Linked DNA regions of Ovis aries. The main gene of each other region encodes a partner of the protein of the gene in region 2 in a complex. Links are inferred from orthologs where the notes say so. Each region holds a gene or a part of one and is shown on either strand. Other genes may lie near its edges. The genes, in order: BMAL1, CLOCK and CIPC.

What was found.
Region 1: the proteins of CLOCK (region 2) and BMAL1 are in contact, whole or in part, in a crystal structure (PDB 4F3L), measured with the Mus musculus proteins. The link is inferred for Ovis aries from reciprocal best matches to the Homo sapiens genes CLOCK and BMAL1. Residues at the interface, in NP_001276755.1 of Mus musculus: Arg46, Gln49, Phe50, Leu53, Ile54, Glu56, Leu57, Met60, Leu61, Pro62, Lys70, Ser71, Leu74, Gln75, Ser77, Ile78, Phe80, Leu81, Arg82, His84, Lys85, Thr88, Glu95, Ile96, Gln98, Asp99, Trp100, Pro102, Phe104, Leu105; in XP_030097882.1 of Mus musculus: Lys70, Met71, Phe74, Ile75, Glu77, Leu78, Ser80, Leu81, Val82, Asp93, Leu95, Leu98, Arg99, Ala101, Val102, His104, Met105, Lys106, Leu108, Arg109, Gly110, Ala118, Tyr120, Lys121, Pro122, Phe124, Leu125, Asp127, Asp128, Glu129.
Region 3: the proteins of CLOCK (region 2) and CIPC are in contact, whole or in part, in a crystal structure (PDB 5VJI), measured with the Mus musculus proteins. The link is inferred for Ovis aries from reciprocal best matches to the Homo sapiens genes CLOCK and CIPC. Residues at the interface, in NP_001276755.1 of Mus musculus: Gln519, Leu526, Lys527, Leu530, Arg533, Ile537, Asn540, Ile541, Arg543, Gln544, Glu547, Leu548, Ile551, Gln554, Leu555, Val558; in XP_006515773.1 of Mus musculus: Asn401, Thr402, Val405, Leu406, Ser409, Leu411, Ile414, Thr415, Thr418, Leu421, Ile422, Asn425, Thr428, Gln429, Leu432, Leu435, Lys436, Thr439, Gln440, Phe442, Ile443, Thr446.

Annotation. Positions count from the first base shown.
Region 1 is NC_056068.1:39,065,451-39,069,699, forward strand, and holds part of BMAL1 (basic helix-loop-helix ARNT-like protein 1), read right to left. Parts: intron 2,164-4,249; coding exon 1,917-2,163; intron 584-1,916; coding exon 477-583; intron 1-476. UniProt on the Homo sapiens protein: Transcriptional activator which forms a core component of the circadian clock.
Region 2 is NC_056059.1:71,697,567-71,702,506, reverse strand, and holds the start of CLOCK (circadian locomoter output cycles protein kaput), read left to right. Parts: upstream 1-1,563; 5' UTR 1,564-1,690; intron 1,691-1,857; exon of another isoform or gene 1,858-1,990; intron 1,991-2,424; exon of another isoform or gene 2,425-2,807; intron 2,808-2,941; 5' UTR 2,942-3,016; intron 3,017-4,940. UniProt on the Homo sapiens protein: Transcriptional activator which forms a core component of the circadian clock.
Region 3 is NC_056060.1:86,465,525-86,470,514, forward strand, and holds the start of CIPC (CLOCK-interacting pacemaker), read left to right. Parts: upstream 1-1,917; coding exon 1,918-2,053; intron 2,054-4,990.

The DNA.
Region 1 (4,249 bases), on a different chromosome or scaffold from region 2:
AGGGGCCTCCTTGGAGATGCATGGCTGAGATGAATGAACAGTTCCGACGGAGGAAAGAGTAAAGAAGGGAGTCAATGTTGGCTGCTGTCTCAGGAGGCTATGTACGTGGCCACGTCATTAACCAAGAGGAAAATGCAGGAGGCGGTGCAGGGATTTGTAGGAAATTAGATCCGCTTGGGCCACACTAAATCTTTACATAGTCCAGGGAAACCCTCTGAACCAGAGGTGCCTTCCAGAAATTGCTCCAGCCCATGTAGAGATCTACTAGGCAGTCGGGGTGGGCGGTTATCTGGAAGGGGGTAGATGAGGCCTGGGGGAAGGAGCAGCACCCTCTCCTCCCAGACATTCTGGCCTGCAGGTCCCTGGGCTGGCTGACTCCCACCTCACAGGGGCAGATTTCTCTGCAAGGGTCCATGGACATGTCTAGAAGGAGGACACTTGAAACTTCAGAACTGGTGTACAGCCCAGCAGCTAACCTTGCCTATGACATTCTGCGAGATGTCCTATGTCATCTTGGTGGAAATACTCATAACACGACGTGCCTAGAAGTTCTTGTGGTAGATATGCCAAAATAGCTGTTGCCCTAAAAGGGAGAAAAAAAATTTTTTTTTAAATAAAATAACATTCAGACAATTAACAGATCTCTGCAGTGGATGACTCCTGCTACAGCCAATGAAAACAAGGTCAAAGCTGGGGGGGTTCAGAGGGCTTATTACATGGGTTTTGTTCTTTCTCATGAAGCTGACTTTAATCGGGGTTATAAAAACAGAGAGAGAAAGCAAAGACTTTCAAAGGGGCTGTTAGCACAAGACATCAAATTTTAGGTTTAAAAGTAGTAACTTTTAGATTAAAAAAAAGTGATAGGACTCTAAACTCCAGGTCAAAACTTCTCCAATTTACTGCCTGCTTTTTATCAGAGTGACCAGAAGCCCCAGTCGTGGGGCCCACAGGGACCTTGAGAAGCGGCTGCCTCCTTTTCTAGTATTTAGTGACTGGCTATTTCCAGTGGCCAGAAAAATTGCTAGCCTGTGGATACTTGTAAGGAAGCAGCAGAGAGCAGTGGAAATTTGGGTTCTTAGCCCAGGTCTACGGCCAATGAGTTACGAATCTCGGAGGGGGCTGGTCTTCAGGCTGAGCCTCTGTTCATCAGCCATAAAGAATGAGACCAGACTAGATCAGTGTTGTCCAGCAGAACTTTTTGTGAAGACAGAAATGTTCTGTTCAGGTACCATTAGCCACTGTTGCTGCTGTTTAGTCGCTAAGTTGTATCCAATCCTTTGTGATCCCATGGACTGCAGCCTACCAGGCTCCTCCGTCTATGGGATTTCTCAGGCAAGAATACTGGAGTGGGGTGCCATTCCCCTCTCCAGGGGATCCTCCTGACCCATGGATTGAACCTGCATCTCCTGCCCTGGCAGGCAGATTCTTTATAGCTGAGCCACCAGGGAAGCCACATGTGACTACTGATACTTGAAATGTGGTTAGTGAGCTGGGGGAATTTAAATTCACATTTTAACTTTAATTGATTAAATATATGGGGTTACTATAGCCAATGACTACTGTATTGATAGCTCAAGACCAGATAATCTTTTCAAAGTCCCACATCCCAGAACTCACATTACAGTAATTAATGGAACACTCCATAGATTCAGATAGCATGTTATGCCTATTATTTCTCTCTTAGCCACGGACATCAAGCCACCCCACTTCACTGTCTCTACCTGCCCAAGAATGACATGGAGAAAATTTCTGTATTTATGATGATAACCCACTAGGTCTCATTTTTCAGCAGATCCACCCGTCACTTCCTCCTCTCTATCCTTAAGAAAGGCAGCCAATGGCCCAGTCTGCTCTGCTTTACTCAAGGTTGAAAATCTGCTGCCAAGACAGTCCAAGGGTAACGTGCAGACTCTTACCTCTGGTCTACAAAAACAAACTTCCCATCTATCGCGTGCCGGGAGACATATTCCATTGATTTCACCCTGATTTCCCCATTTGCCGGTTGTGGAACCATGTGAGAGTGCAGCCGTCCGATGGCGACAAGGCAGCTAAGATTACACCCCTCATTGTCTGGTTCGTTGTCTTCATCCAGCCCCATCTTTGTGGGCGGCCAGCTTTTCAAATAGCCTGTGCTGTGGATTGTGCAGAAGCTTTTTCGATCTGCTAGAAAGCAAAGTCCGATGTCAGTGGGGCTTTGGGGCCTGGAAGCACAGGCAGCCTATCGTGCATTGAGATGTAGGGAGGGACTGAAAATATAAAAATCAAAGTCTACTGTCCAGAAGATAGCATCAAGTGAAAGAGAAAGACAGAAAGATCAGGCATGATCCAGTGTCATGTGTGTTTCGTAGCAATGATGACACCAAATGGGCATCACGTACACCAAGGAAGGAGCAGCACAATCCCCCTGGCAGAGGAAGGCTGCCCAGAAGATCTGTGTAGGAGGAGAGCTGGGAGGGATGGGCACCGGCTAAAGGACCAGAATGTGTAAAGGCTGAGAAGGTACAAAGACCCAGAGGGGCATCCTGTACAGCAAACAGCACAGTGCTCCATGCAGGTGAAGTGAAAAGGGAGGTGCTGGGGGTAAGTGCTGGGAAGGTAGGTTGGCAGCATACTGTTGGGGCCTTGGATCATTTGCTCACAAAGGTGTTAACCTTTTCCAGACTGGAAATGGAGAGTTTCCAAGGGCACTTACAGTGGGGAAACAGCAAAATCACATCGTGATTTGGATGCTTTAATGACGGGGGGCGGTGGGGGACTGGAAGACAGTAAAAGCCAGGAGGAGGATAGTAATCAGCGAGAGATGCCAGGGACTCACAATGGCAGTGCTGTGGAGATAAGGGGGAGGCAGAAAGGACGCAGGGGAATTTCTGGGCTGAACTTTTGGGATCTGGTCTGAGTATCAAATATTTGGGATGAAAAAAGAAAACACAGATGAGTCCAACTTTTTCGGATTGAGTGGTTACAGGTACAATTTGTTGACTCAGGGGAGAGAATACAGAGTGTGTTTTAGAGGAGAGGGAGAAAGATTTCAGTGTGGGACACGTTAAGCGTGAAGCATCCGTGAATTTCAACAGTACACATATTTTTTTTTGTTGTTGGCGGGGGCGGGCTGCCTTGTGTCGCAGCTCGCAGGACCTTAGTTCCCCAACCAGGGCTCAAACCTGTGCCCCCCTTGCCGTGGAGGACTGCCAGGAAAGTCCCAGTAGACACATTCTTATGGAATGTTTACCAAGCATCGGGTCTGTGCTAGTTACTGGGAAAGAGTGGACAACAAGTCAGGCACGCCTCTGTGGAATTTAGTCTAATGGGGGGGAGGTACTTCAAACAAATAACCCACAAATGACTCCATAACTGCAATGGGAGCAAGTGTCACAAGGAAAACCTGCAGGGTGTGCCATGCAGACAGAAGGCAGTCTGAGGGACTGAGCGACAGACATCGGGGTCCACTCTGAAGGGGGGTTTGCAGAGAGCCAGGGAGGGGAGCTGGTGGCGAGGGAGGCACTTCCTTCAGAGGTGACACCACGTGTGCAGATACTGAGTGGAAAGGGGTTGGAGGCATCAAACGGAGGTCTGCACGGCTCAAACCTATGGAGGAGTGTCAAGGGAGAGCGCTACAGGGTCACATTAAAGATTTTAAACTTTTCTTCAAGAGCAATGGGAACCAATGAAGGGTTTGAAACAGGGGACAGATACAAAGATTTGCTTTTAGAAAGGTCACTCTGGCCATGGGAAAGGCTGGAAAGCGTGAGGAAAGTACTTCAACAGACTTATGAGACCCAGGACAGCCTCGATCGAGTAATGGCAGTAACAAATACACTTCTTCAGGAGTGACTCATAGCAGCAAGAACCCTAGGCCAGGGCGGAGGGAAACGGGGAGACGGTGTCTCCCAGGCTCTCAGCACACACAGCTCGATGCGAGGAGCTGCCGTAACATTCCAGAGGAAGCCTGGGTGGTTACTTCTATGCCTATCACCTATGAGATGCTCTAGAGATGTCCAAGCAGGTAGATTAAATAAGCAGTTAGTTTACAAATCTGGAGTTCAAAAGAGCAGTGTGGGCTAGAAATATGAACCTGGAGATTACTGGCATATAAATGTCATTGAAAGCCACATGGGTGGGTGACATTACCTATGGACTGTTGTATGTATCTACTCCTCTTAAGAGGGCTGGAAAGGAACCAACAGAAAGAACTCAGAGGAGAGTTCAGAGCGGGAGGGGGCAGCAAGGTGAGAAGAAACACTTCACCGTG
Region 2 (4,940 bases):
GATGGCAGCCCACCAGGCTCCCCCGTCCTGGGATTCTCCAGGCAAGAACACTGGAGTGGGTTGCCATTTCCTTCTCCAATGCACGAAAGCGAAAAGTGAAAGTGAAGTTGAACTTAACTGAAATTTCCAGTTATCTAGTCCACAATGGATTCCATGCATCCAATGTGTCTACAGGCCAAATCTCCATTTTTAAACCTGCTTTATTCCACGTTGCCTTCTTTCTCAGAATCTGTGAGTAGGAAGATGTGTTCAGGCTTTCATTTTTGCAGACTTAACTCCACTGGAAAAGAGATCAACCTTCTTAGTTAAATCCAAACTAAGGTAGAGGATTAACTCAAATGTGTTTTCCTCTGGAGTCCTGCTCCAGCCTCAGAATAGGGAATGAATGCTAAGCAGGAAAAAATGTCTACTAAAATCTTGTCTGCTATATGATGACTCTATCACGCTCTCCCATTCCGGATAGAATCCTCTGGTGAATGATAAGGGATCTGAATAGTTTCTCAATTTCAATCGATGTTCTTTTTCTCTTGAGTACACAGCAAGAATCTGAAGTGTTCACTGAGATGAATGTTACCTTTGAGGGAGGATTTTATAGTCACAAGTTTTTTTGAAAGAAGAAAAAATGGCTTCTATTTCAAATTCAAAGAACAATCATTAAAATATGAAAACTACTAGGAATTAGGAGTGTAGACTTTTTCCCAATAATTTTTAGCTACTGAAAGGTGCTTTCCCTTGCGGACCAACTGTCTTAACCATCAAAGAAAGTAATTTCCCCCTAAGATAAGGGGGAAAACATTCACACGTTTTTCTACAAGGGAAGGAAGGTACAAGCTAGGATCCTGGTTTATCTCCCATCTTCCTTAAGGCTAGATAAAAATCTCCAAAGGAGCACGTCCGTTATCTTCTTTGGCCTCGGCCCTCCAGCCAAGGACTCACGTCCGATATCCCCAGGCCCACTCTCCAAAAAGAAGCGACTAAAGCAGTGCACTTCCAGAAGAGAGAGGAGGAGTCTGGAGTGCCAGTCACCTTCACAAACGCCCTCTTCCAGTCCCAAGAGACGAAACGCAAGTGATGCCACTGGATGAGGGGGAAAATTCTTTTCGCCCGCCCGATTTTTTTTTCCCCTGGCATTGGCAAAGTGATTTGGTTTTCGAGAAAGAGAAGGTCCCCCTTTTTGGCTTCGGGATCCCTTGCACATGAAACTCTCCTCTGTCCTCGCTTCCTGCATCCAGGGTAAAAGTCAAAGCCACCCTGATCTAAAACTCCCGGGACCGGCCGCACCCTCCGCAGCTAACCAGGCCCCGCCTCCCCTGCTTTCCAGTAACCGGTGCGAGGAACGGGGCGCCGGGGGGATCTTGGCTTTCCTGCACGCCCGGCGGCAGCCGCGGATCGCGCAGACGCGTAGCCCTAGGGAGCAGGAGTCTCCTCCGGCGCCCGGGATCCCCATCGCAGCTCCGAGCTGCCTAACGGGGCACATCGCATGCGCACCAAGACGCACTGGGGAAAGAGAGAGTGAGGGGAGGGACGAAAGAAAAGCGCCGGCAGTCGGAGCCCGCAGGGGTCACTGACTACGCATGCGCCGGGAGGGAGCGCAATCACAGACTCGTCTTGCGGCTACCGGCTTAAAAAAGGAAACCCCCGAGACAGAGAGCGCGAAGGAAATCTGGCCGCCGACGCGTGCGCGCTCCCGGTGAGTGGCGCCCCGCCGGGTGGGCCTGGGGCCTGACGTCCGCCGGCAGGCTTGCCTGAGCGGCGCATGCGTGGTCCCGGTGCCTGTGGAGGAGGGGAAGGGAAGGGAGGGGGAGGAGTTGAGGGCGGCTGTAGCGGTGAATTTTTGGGGGGTGGGTTGGGGGCGCCACTCAGCCTCAGGTGCTGCTAGAGCAGGGAGCCGCAGCGCCTTCAGGACGCTGCAAGGCTAGTGGTTCCGAGTCGCCGCAGCTGGACTCCGGGGTGGGGGAGGGAAGAAGCCGGAGCCGCCGCAAGCCACACGGTGAGGGCGCCGGGAAGTGGGGGGAGCGGGAGGGCGGTGTGTGTGGGGCCGGGGGGCGGCGGCCAGGGGAGGGGCGGGCTGGCGCTGAAGCCCAAGTTTTGCTTATCGCTCGAGAGTGTCTTTTCTCGGGAGTTGGGGTGGAGGCCCGCCCCGTCTGAAGGGCCTTTCGGGACAGCTGGGGTTACCTGCGGGGCAGGGGTGGGATTGGGGTGCGCGGCGGGGTCGGGTGGCCGGAGCGCGCCCTTGGGTTGAGGCCGGTTCGAGCGGCAGAGGGGCGGGGAGAGCCGAAGAGCCGGTGCGGAGAGGGCTTTCGCTGGGGACCCGCTAGGCCTTGTGACCCACTTTATTCCTGTCACAACTCGGGCACGTTTGGAGCGGCGCCCAATGGGGCGCCGGGACGGCCAGCTCCTCCGGGGAACCCCCGCCCTCCCGGCACCCGGCCCGCGCGCCGCGGCCCGCAGTCCGAGCGGTGGCCGCCGCCGCCCGTGGGCTGGTTCCGTTAGTGGTCGCGGTTCCGGGGCTGGGTCCCCGGGGAACGCGCTACTCCTCGCGTCCGACTCGAGCCGCTGCGCGGGTTCGAACGCTCCCGGGGCGGCGCCGGTCTTCCTTGAGTCCACCCGCGCCCGCCCGCCCCGGGTCACCGCGGCGGCTGATTCTTGTGGAAACCTTTTCGCCTGCGAAGCTGGACTCTAGCTTGTCCTGGCGTGCTGGCCCCGGGAGTGTAATTTCCGATGTGTAGCGCCGCAGAGCTTACATTCTTGAGTGCGTTTTCGCTGGTGTGCAAGTCGTCCTGTTGCTAATAGCAGAATCCTGAAAGGTAAAAACCTCGGCCTCTGACTTGGGGAATGAAAGATCGAATCAGGTGGCGGTTGCTTGCTATTAGAATGCCGCGCTATACGACTTGAAGGCTTTCTAACCTTAGAAAAGCAACAATAATGTTTTCTTTTACAGTGAAAGAAAAGCACTAGAAGGAACTTTTAGTCATTGTTGATTTGGCTGTTACGCTGATGCCCCAATCAAAAAAAGGTAATTTCACTTGAAGTCTACATTCTAATTTGTACCTTTATTTTAAGTGATAAAATAGTGCGACTTTTCCCGTCTACCTGGTTGGAAAAGAAACGTTCTAAAAAGGATGTAATTTAAATAATGAGTTGCTTTGTCTGTTTTTAGATCTTGGGGGGAGAAACTTAACTCAGGTGTTAAGTAGTTAACTGTATAGAATATCATTAAAGTTTAGCCTGAAGAAAGATGAAAGTTGTAGTCATAATCAGCTGTGAAAAAGAATGAGGAAGCTTTGTGTGTAATGACACGGAAAGATCTCCAAAGTATGTTATAAAGTGAAAAAAACAAGATATAGGACAGCGTGAATAACGTGCTACTTTGTGTGATAACGAGGCACCCATGGAATAGGAATATAAACTTGGGTTTGTCTTTATAAGTATAAAGAAACTGGCGGGGGAGGATAGCGGAGAATTGATAATGGTTGGGTAGAGGGCGGAGTAACCTGATGAGGGGATGGTGGGAAATGACACGTACACTGTATGCCTTTATATTTTAAAGTATTTGTGACTATATTATGAGTTCGTAAACTAGATTAAACAAAAATCCTTCTCTCCAAAATAATTTGCTCAAAATAATTTCTTTCTTTCCTAGTTTGTAGTAATTTTGGCCATTTTTAATATGGTTTCTCTTAGTGGTTTTTTTTTTTTTTTTTTTTTTTTTTTAAGGGGAAACGACCTAAACTTGACAGAAAGTTTTAAGTATGGCTATCTAGGCTCCAGTTTTTAAGATGCTAATGTTACAAATTTAACTTTTAAAAATGTTTAGTCATATTTTGTTTTGCTAAAATATATGACATTATTTACATTTGACATTTTGGCTTATGCTGTGTTCAGAGCATAGTTTTTCTTGCTGCTTTTTTTCCCCCAGAAATCCTAGTTGTATAAAATTTTACTTTTACTTTTTTTAACCCCAAAGTTGTGATGACAAACAGTTGGAGAATATGAACTCTCCATTAAAATGACACTGGAATTGGTTCTCTAGATAGTTTGCTTTTCAGATGGGGAAATACTTTCTCAAGGCGGTCAGACATGAACTGCATGTAAATTTATATGTGTGTGTGTTTAGAGAGAGATCCTGTATATAGATATAGTACTTACAGAGAATTAAAGTTGAGAGTCAATGTTCTGTTGGTGCAAACGCTAAAATTTTTTTATGACTTAATGGGTTGCTGAAAACAGTATGTAGTTTCAGGGGGGAGGGTACTCAAAATTCCTCTGGTGGCTAATATCGTATAATCAGAGTCGTGAATGTTGAGTAGTGGGTGACAGTTGCTATGGGCATTTTTGTTGTGTAGCATTCCTTTTTATTTTGGAGGATAGGATAATTTTGTTATTTCTCTTTGATCTGTTGGTCTCTGGTAGTCAAATTTCTGCAAATGGCATTTAATTTTCATTTGAATTCCATATATGTCTGTTCATTCTTTTTGAAAAACATTAGAGAAGTAAGTCAATGTTCAGGAAAAATGTAAACAATGCAATGTATTTATAATAGGTGACAATGCTTTTTACATACTTCACTTCTATCTCACATCTCTCCCCAGAGATAACTACTGTTACATTGTTATATAACCTTTGAGTTCTTTTTCTGTGTATTTACATAGACTTTTAATCTCAAAAATTAAGTTGTCTTGATTGTCTGCTTTGTTAGTTTGTCTCTACTGTGAGCTCTGTTACTACTCACAGGACAGGGAAATGACCTGGATTGGATATGTCAGAAAGTTAAGCAACTGAGCCTCTCCTGGTCCTCTGATGTGAACCTAAGCATGCTTGGTCTTTAACTAAGAGACATTGATTTACTTGGAAGGAATCCAGCAGGGGGAACAGGAGAAGAAGCTTTTTGGTCTGGTTTTTGCTTTAGTGACAGCAGACAAGTTGTATACATACTTCTT
Region 3 (4,990 bases), on a different chromosome or scaffold from region 2:
TGTGTTTAATTCAGTCTCATTCTGATCAGTGTGCATTCCCTTTAGTCTACTTACACTGTATGCAAAAGAGCAAGAGAGCTGTTCAAGGATGCCTGTAAGCATCCTTGGCTTCTATTTAATTTATTTCCAGTCCCTCCTCTGCTTCTGGAGTGGTTGATGTTCTTCACTAGATCCTGTATTGGCAGAAACGTTCACACGGCATTTTCAGGGTGTCTTCAGATACGCAGCTGTCTGACAGGGGCCCCATGTTTCTCTCTACTTAGAAGGACGAACAGATGGAGTCGAAAATGAATCGTGAATAAGAATGCCTCCAGGTATAGCTTAAACGTACTACCTCGGTCCATTTTGTCATGACAAAACACCACAGACCGTGTAGCTTATAAACCACAGAAATTTATTTCTCCCAGTTCTGGAAGCTGAAAGTCCAAGCTTAGGGTGCCAGCAAGGTCGAGGGACAGCCCTCTTTTGGGTCACAGACTTCTCACTGACTGTGGTGCAAGGGGCTGGGGACCTCTCTAGAGCCTAAGGCACTCATCCCATGAGGTGAAGCTCTCATTACCTAAGCCCCACCTCCTAACACCATCATCTTGGGGGATTAAGATTCCATATATGAATTCTGGGGGGACACAGATGTTCAGATTGGAGCACTCGTCCGGTTGCGTTGTTATTGCTGTTTTACCTGTTGGTCCGGTGTTCTCTTTATCCCTGCAGTATCCTTGTGTTCTGACTGTGCCGCCTTTCCAGCTGCCATCCCTTGGCTGTTCAGAAAAGAAAGTGAAAGTGTTCGTCGCTGAAGCGTGTGTCCGACTCTTTGCAACCCCGTGGTCTGTAACCCGCCAGGCTCCTCTATTCATGAGATTCTCCAGGCCAGAATATTGGAGTGGGTTGCCATTCCCTTCTCCAGGGGATCTTCCCGACCTGATGATCAAACCTAGGTCTCCTGCATTGGAGGCAGATTCCGTAGCATCTGAGGCACCATGGAAGCCCTGACTGTTCAGAGGGCCCTGTTAAAATATCCTGAAAGGGCTCATTGGTCTCACAGTTTGCGCTGTTAACCTAGTTCTGGATCTGCTTTGAACTAGCTGTGTGTTACTGGGTCAAATCTAGGCGTCTCTCAGGAAGAGGGGGAGCAGGTCTGTCTGATTCGCTCTGTACCCGCCACTAGCACCATGCCCAGCTCACAACAGGCACTCAGGAAGTATTTTTAAATGGCTGAATATAACTTATCTGAGCCTCAACTTCCTTCTCTGTAAAATGGGATAACAACTGAGAAGGATGTTTTGAGGCTCAAATGAGATAATCTTAACATCAGTAATGTTACGGGTGTTTGTGGATCAAAGCACTGTGTATCTGGTTTTCTGTGCACATAGACGCACTTTCTAAGCCAGAATGTGGCATGCATATATAAGGAGTTGTTTTTTGATCTGTTCACTACCTCCTCTAATTTGATAAACTACACTCGGGGAGGTGGCAGAAAGTCTCGGGCCTGCGGAGGTATCCTGGGAAGCAGGCCTGGTCCGAGGTGGGCATCCCCTCTCCTCTCTTCTTCTCCCTCAGGGAGCATTCCAGAGAGCTAATCAAATGTGCCTTTGTTAGCAGTTTACAAAGCTTCCACTGAATGGTCTGTGTGCTTTGCATTTGTAATGGAATTAGAGGGCAGGGAGAGGACAGTGAGCCTGCCTTTGGATGGAAACCATTCTCCTGCTGAGTAAACGTGTAGCCTTTGTCTGCTGAGACCTCTGAGAAAGTGCCGGCTGAGGACGTGGGCGAGGCCCGTGTCCTTTGCCCCGACTTTACTCACTGCTGGTTCACCTGTCCTAGCTCTCCAGGCAGTGACTTCTTACGTAACTGTTGTTTTTTCACAGGGCAGTCCAGATGAAAAGAGTACTGATGTGTCCCCTCGCAGCCCAGTAAAACATGGAGAGGAAGAACCCGTCCAGAGAGGGCTCTCGAAGGCTGTCAGCCAAACCAAGCAAGGGCTCAGAGATGAAAAAGGCGTCTCGTCAGCTCGGCCTGGCAGCTGCTGAGTCAGACAAGGACTCTGGATTTTCAGGTTAAAATTACCTTATCCTTTCTACACTGTAGTGAATGATTTGCCTGAAAAATGTCCTCCGTAAAACTCATTTGTGTGATAATGATGGGAAGGTTTCACCCACAGGAGAAATGAATGGCTCTCTGGTCTCTTAAAATGGTAGTTCTGTTGCCACATGGCAGGGTATTCATCAGAGTCACAGTGGGGTTAGTTCTGAAGGAACGGTTTGATGTCTTTTTTCAGCTCAGACTCTCAACTTCAAATCTTACGTGTTTCCCCACTGTGGGAAGTGGTTATGGGAGAAAAGATATAAAATACTCATAATTCTGTTGTCTTTCCTCCTTTCTCACAGGAATAGTTATATTGCAGTTAAACTGCATTCCAATAATCACATTGGAAAAAAAACTGCATGTTGTCACCACATAGAACAAATTAAACAAAGGTAGTGGGGTCACACAGAGTCGGACACGACTGAAGCGACTTAGCAGCAGCAGCAGCAGTGTATAATTTGTTAAGATATCTTTTTTCTAAGAAAGTATTTTGTTATGTTTAAAAACATTTCCTCCTGATAGCCCATCCCTGCCAGTGTTTGCTCTTTGTGTTTGGTCTGTGAGTCTCCTGGCCCCATTCCAAACCTGAGTACCTATTAGAGACGAGAAAGCAGGACAATTTTCCTTACTATTTTTTCTGAAAGAACTAGCTGCATACCCAGTAAATCTTTTAATTTTGTGCTGAGGCTTTTTTTAATCTCCAGGTCTGAGAGAAGTGGCTTAAATACGGCTTGAGTGGCGACATTTTTGGCCCAGGGGATGCAGAGAGGTGATGCCAGGGGATTCGGCCTGGGCCGGCATCCCGAGAGCGGAGCCCTCTCCTGGAGGAAGATTTCTATTTTTCAGCCCACAGAGACTAATCAGTCCATCTTGTCGATTTATGAATTTATAGTGAGAAATGCAGCTCTTAGGAACCCTGAACTCTCTCACCCTTAGATTTGTAAATTTTGAAGCTGCAGGGGAAGCCAGGTTATCAATAGGTTGTTGATCTGAGAGGAGCAGAGCACCAGGTCAGGGATTAGAATAAGTACAGTTCAGGAAAGTTAGGGCCAGCGTCTAGCTCTTTGGGTTTTTCTTCTCAATTTTTTCCCATTGTTTCTCAAGCTTGCCTCATCATAAGGCCTTTCTGAGGCATTTGTTTAAAAACACCAGGCCCCTCTCCTGGAGATTGTGACATCGAGGGTCTGCGGGGAGGGCTTGGAGTGTGGGTTTCCTATTTTTACAAGTGTCTCTGGTGATGCCTGTGATCAAACAGGTTTGGGAAACTTTGCAAGCCTGCTGCTGTTGCTGCTGCTGCTAAGTCGCTTCAGTCGTGTCCGGCTCTGTGTGACCCCATAGACAGCAGCCCACCAGGCTCCCCCATCCCTGGGATTCTCTAGGCAAGAACACTGGAGTGGGTGCCATTTCCTTCTCCAGTGCATGAAAGTGAAAAGTGAAAGTGAAGTCCCTCAGTCGTGTCCGACTCTTCGCGACCCCATGGACTGCAGCCCACCAGGCTCCTCCGTCCATGGGATTTTCCAGGCACAAGTACTGGAGTGGGGTGCCATTGCCTTCTCTGTCTTAATATCATATTGGGTTGTTTTTTTTTTTTAATATCATGAAGGTAATATATGCTCATTGTAGAAGCTTAGAAGTTTAGGTACATGCAGAGAAGAAAATAAATATTAACCATAATCCCACCTCCTGTTATTCTCAATACTGTGGCCATTTTGGTACTTCCTCTGACAACTTCAGCTCCATCAGGCCAGCTGTTTTGTAGCATGTTGCACAGCCTGGGTAGTTTTTCTGAAAGTTTCCTATTCTCAATGCAGCAGTGCCTTAAGAAGTTTTGTGCTGTTCAGACATAAGGCAGTCTTAAAAATACTCAGACTCATATGCCCCAGAAGGTGGTCCCAGTGAAGGCCTCCAGCCACTTCTGGGCCAGGTGCCAATGGTGTCATCCCTGCTGGAGTTATCCTTTCAGTTCCTTGGGATGTGATGTAATTGGCAGTTATTAATTAGCTACAGTCCGTATTTAGATTTTTCGCATTGTCTCAGTAGTGTCCTTTATAACTGTTAGTCTCTTTTGTATATTTGCTTGTTGTGGGTGCAGAACTCAGTTGAAGGTTGTGCATTTCATTTCATTGTCCTGTCTTTTCGCTCTTAGTCTAGAACAGTTCCCTTGTCTTCCCTTTCTTTTTTTTTCGTGAAATTGACATCTTTAAATGAGTTAGGCCTGTTGTTTTGTACGATGTTTCACACTGGACTTCTCTGGTAGCTTCCCCAGTATTAGAAACAGAATAAACGTTTTTAAAATAGAAAACTAAATTTTTGATGTTACATCCTCTCATTGCAACACATGAGGTGACTCCTAGGTTTGTCTTATTCTTGGTGATGCTCTGATTAAGGGAGTAATTGTAGACCAGATTTCTTTATTATGAAAGCCCTCCTTTCTCTCTGTAATTAATAAGCAGAGTATGGGATGGTACTTTAAGATTGTGTGACTCTCCTGTTTGCCAACAACCTCTTGACCAGTGGTTTTTGCATCCACTGATGATGCTTACCTAAACCAGTTATTAAACTTGTGGTTTGAAAAATGGTGATCTAATTCTATTATTCCTTTACATGTTATTAGCTGTTGATCTTCTTTAAGGAAACACTTCTCGACCCCCTTTTTTGAGCATCACTGTGGATTCACGGAATTCTTTTCTGATTTGGTTTGTCAACCCATTATCCGTATTCTTTCTGATACCAGGTTGTCCCACATTGGGTCAGTGGGGGTCTCTTCTAGATGGCACCTGTGTCTTTGACGTGTCTCGCATTTGTGGTTGAGCGCTTCCTTGCTTTCTGGGACAGTAAGATGTCTAGGCTTCCCTGCCAAAGACATCAGCTATTTCTCCAAGGAGCCCTGGTTTCCTTTTCATGCAGA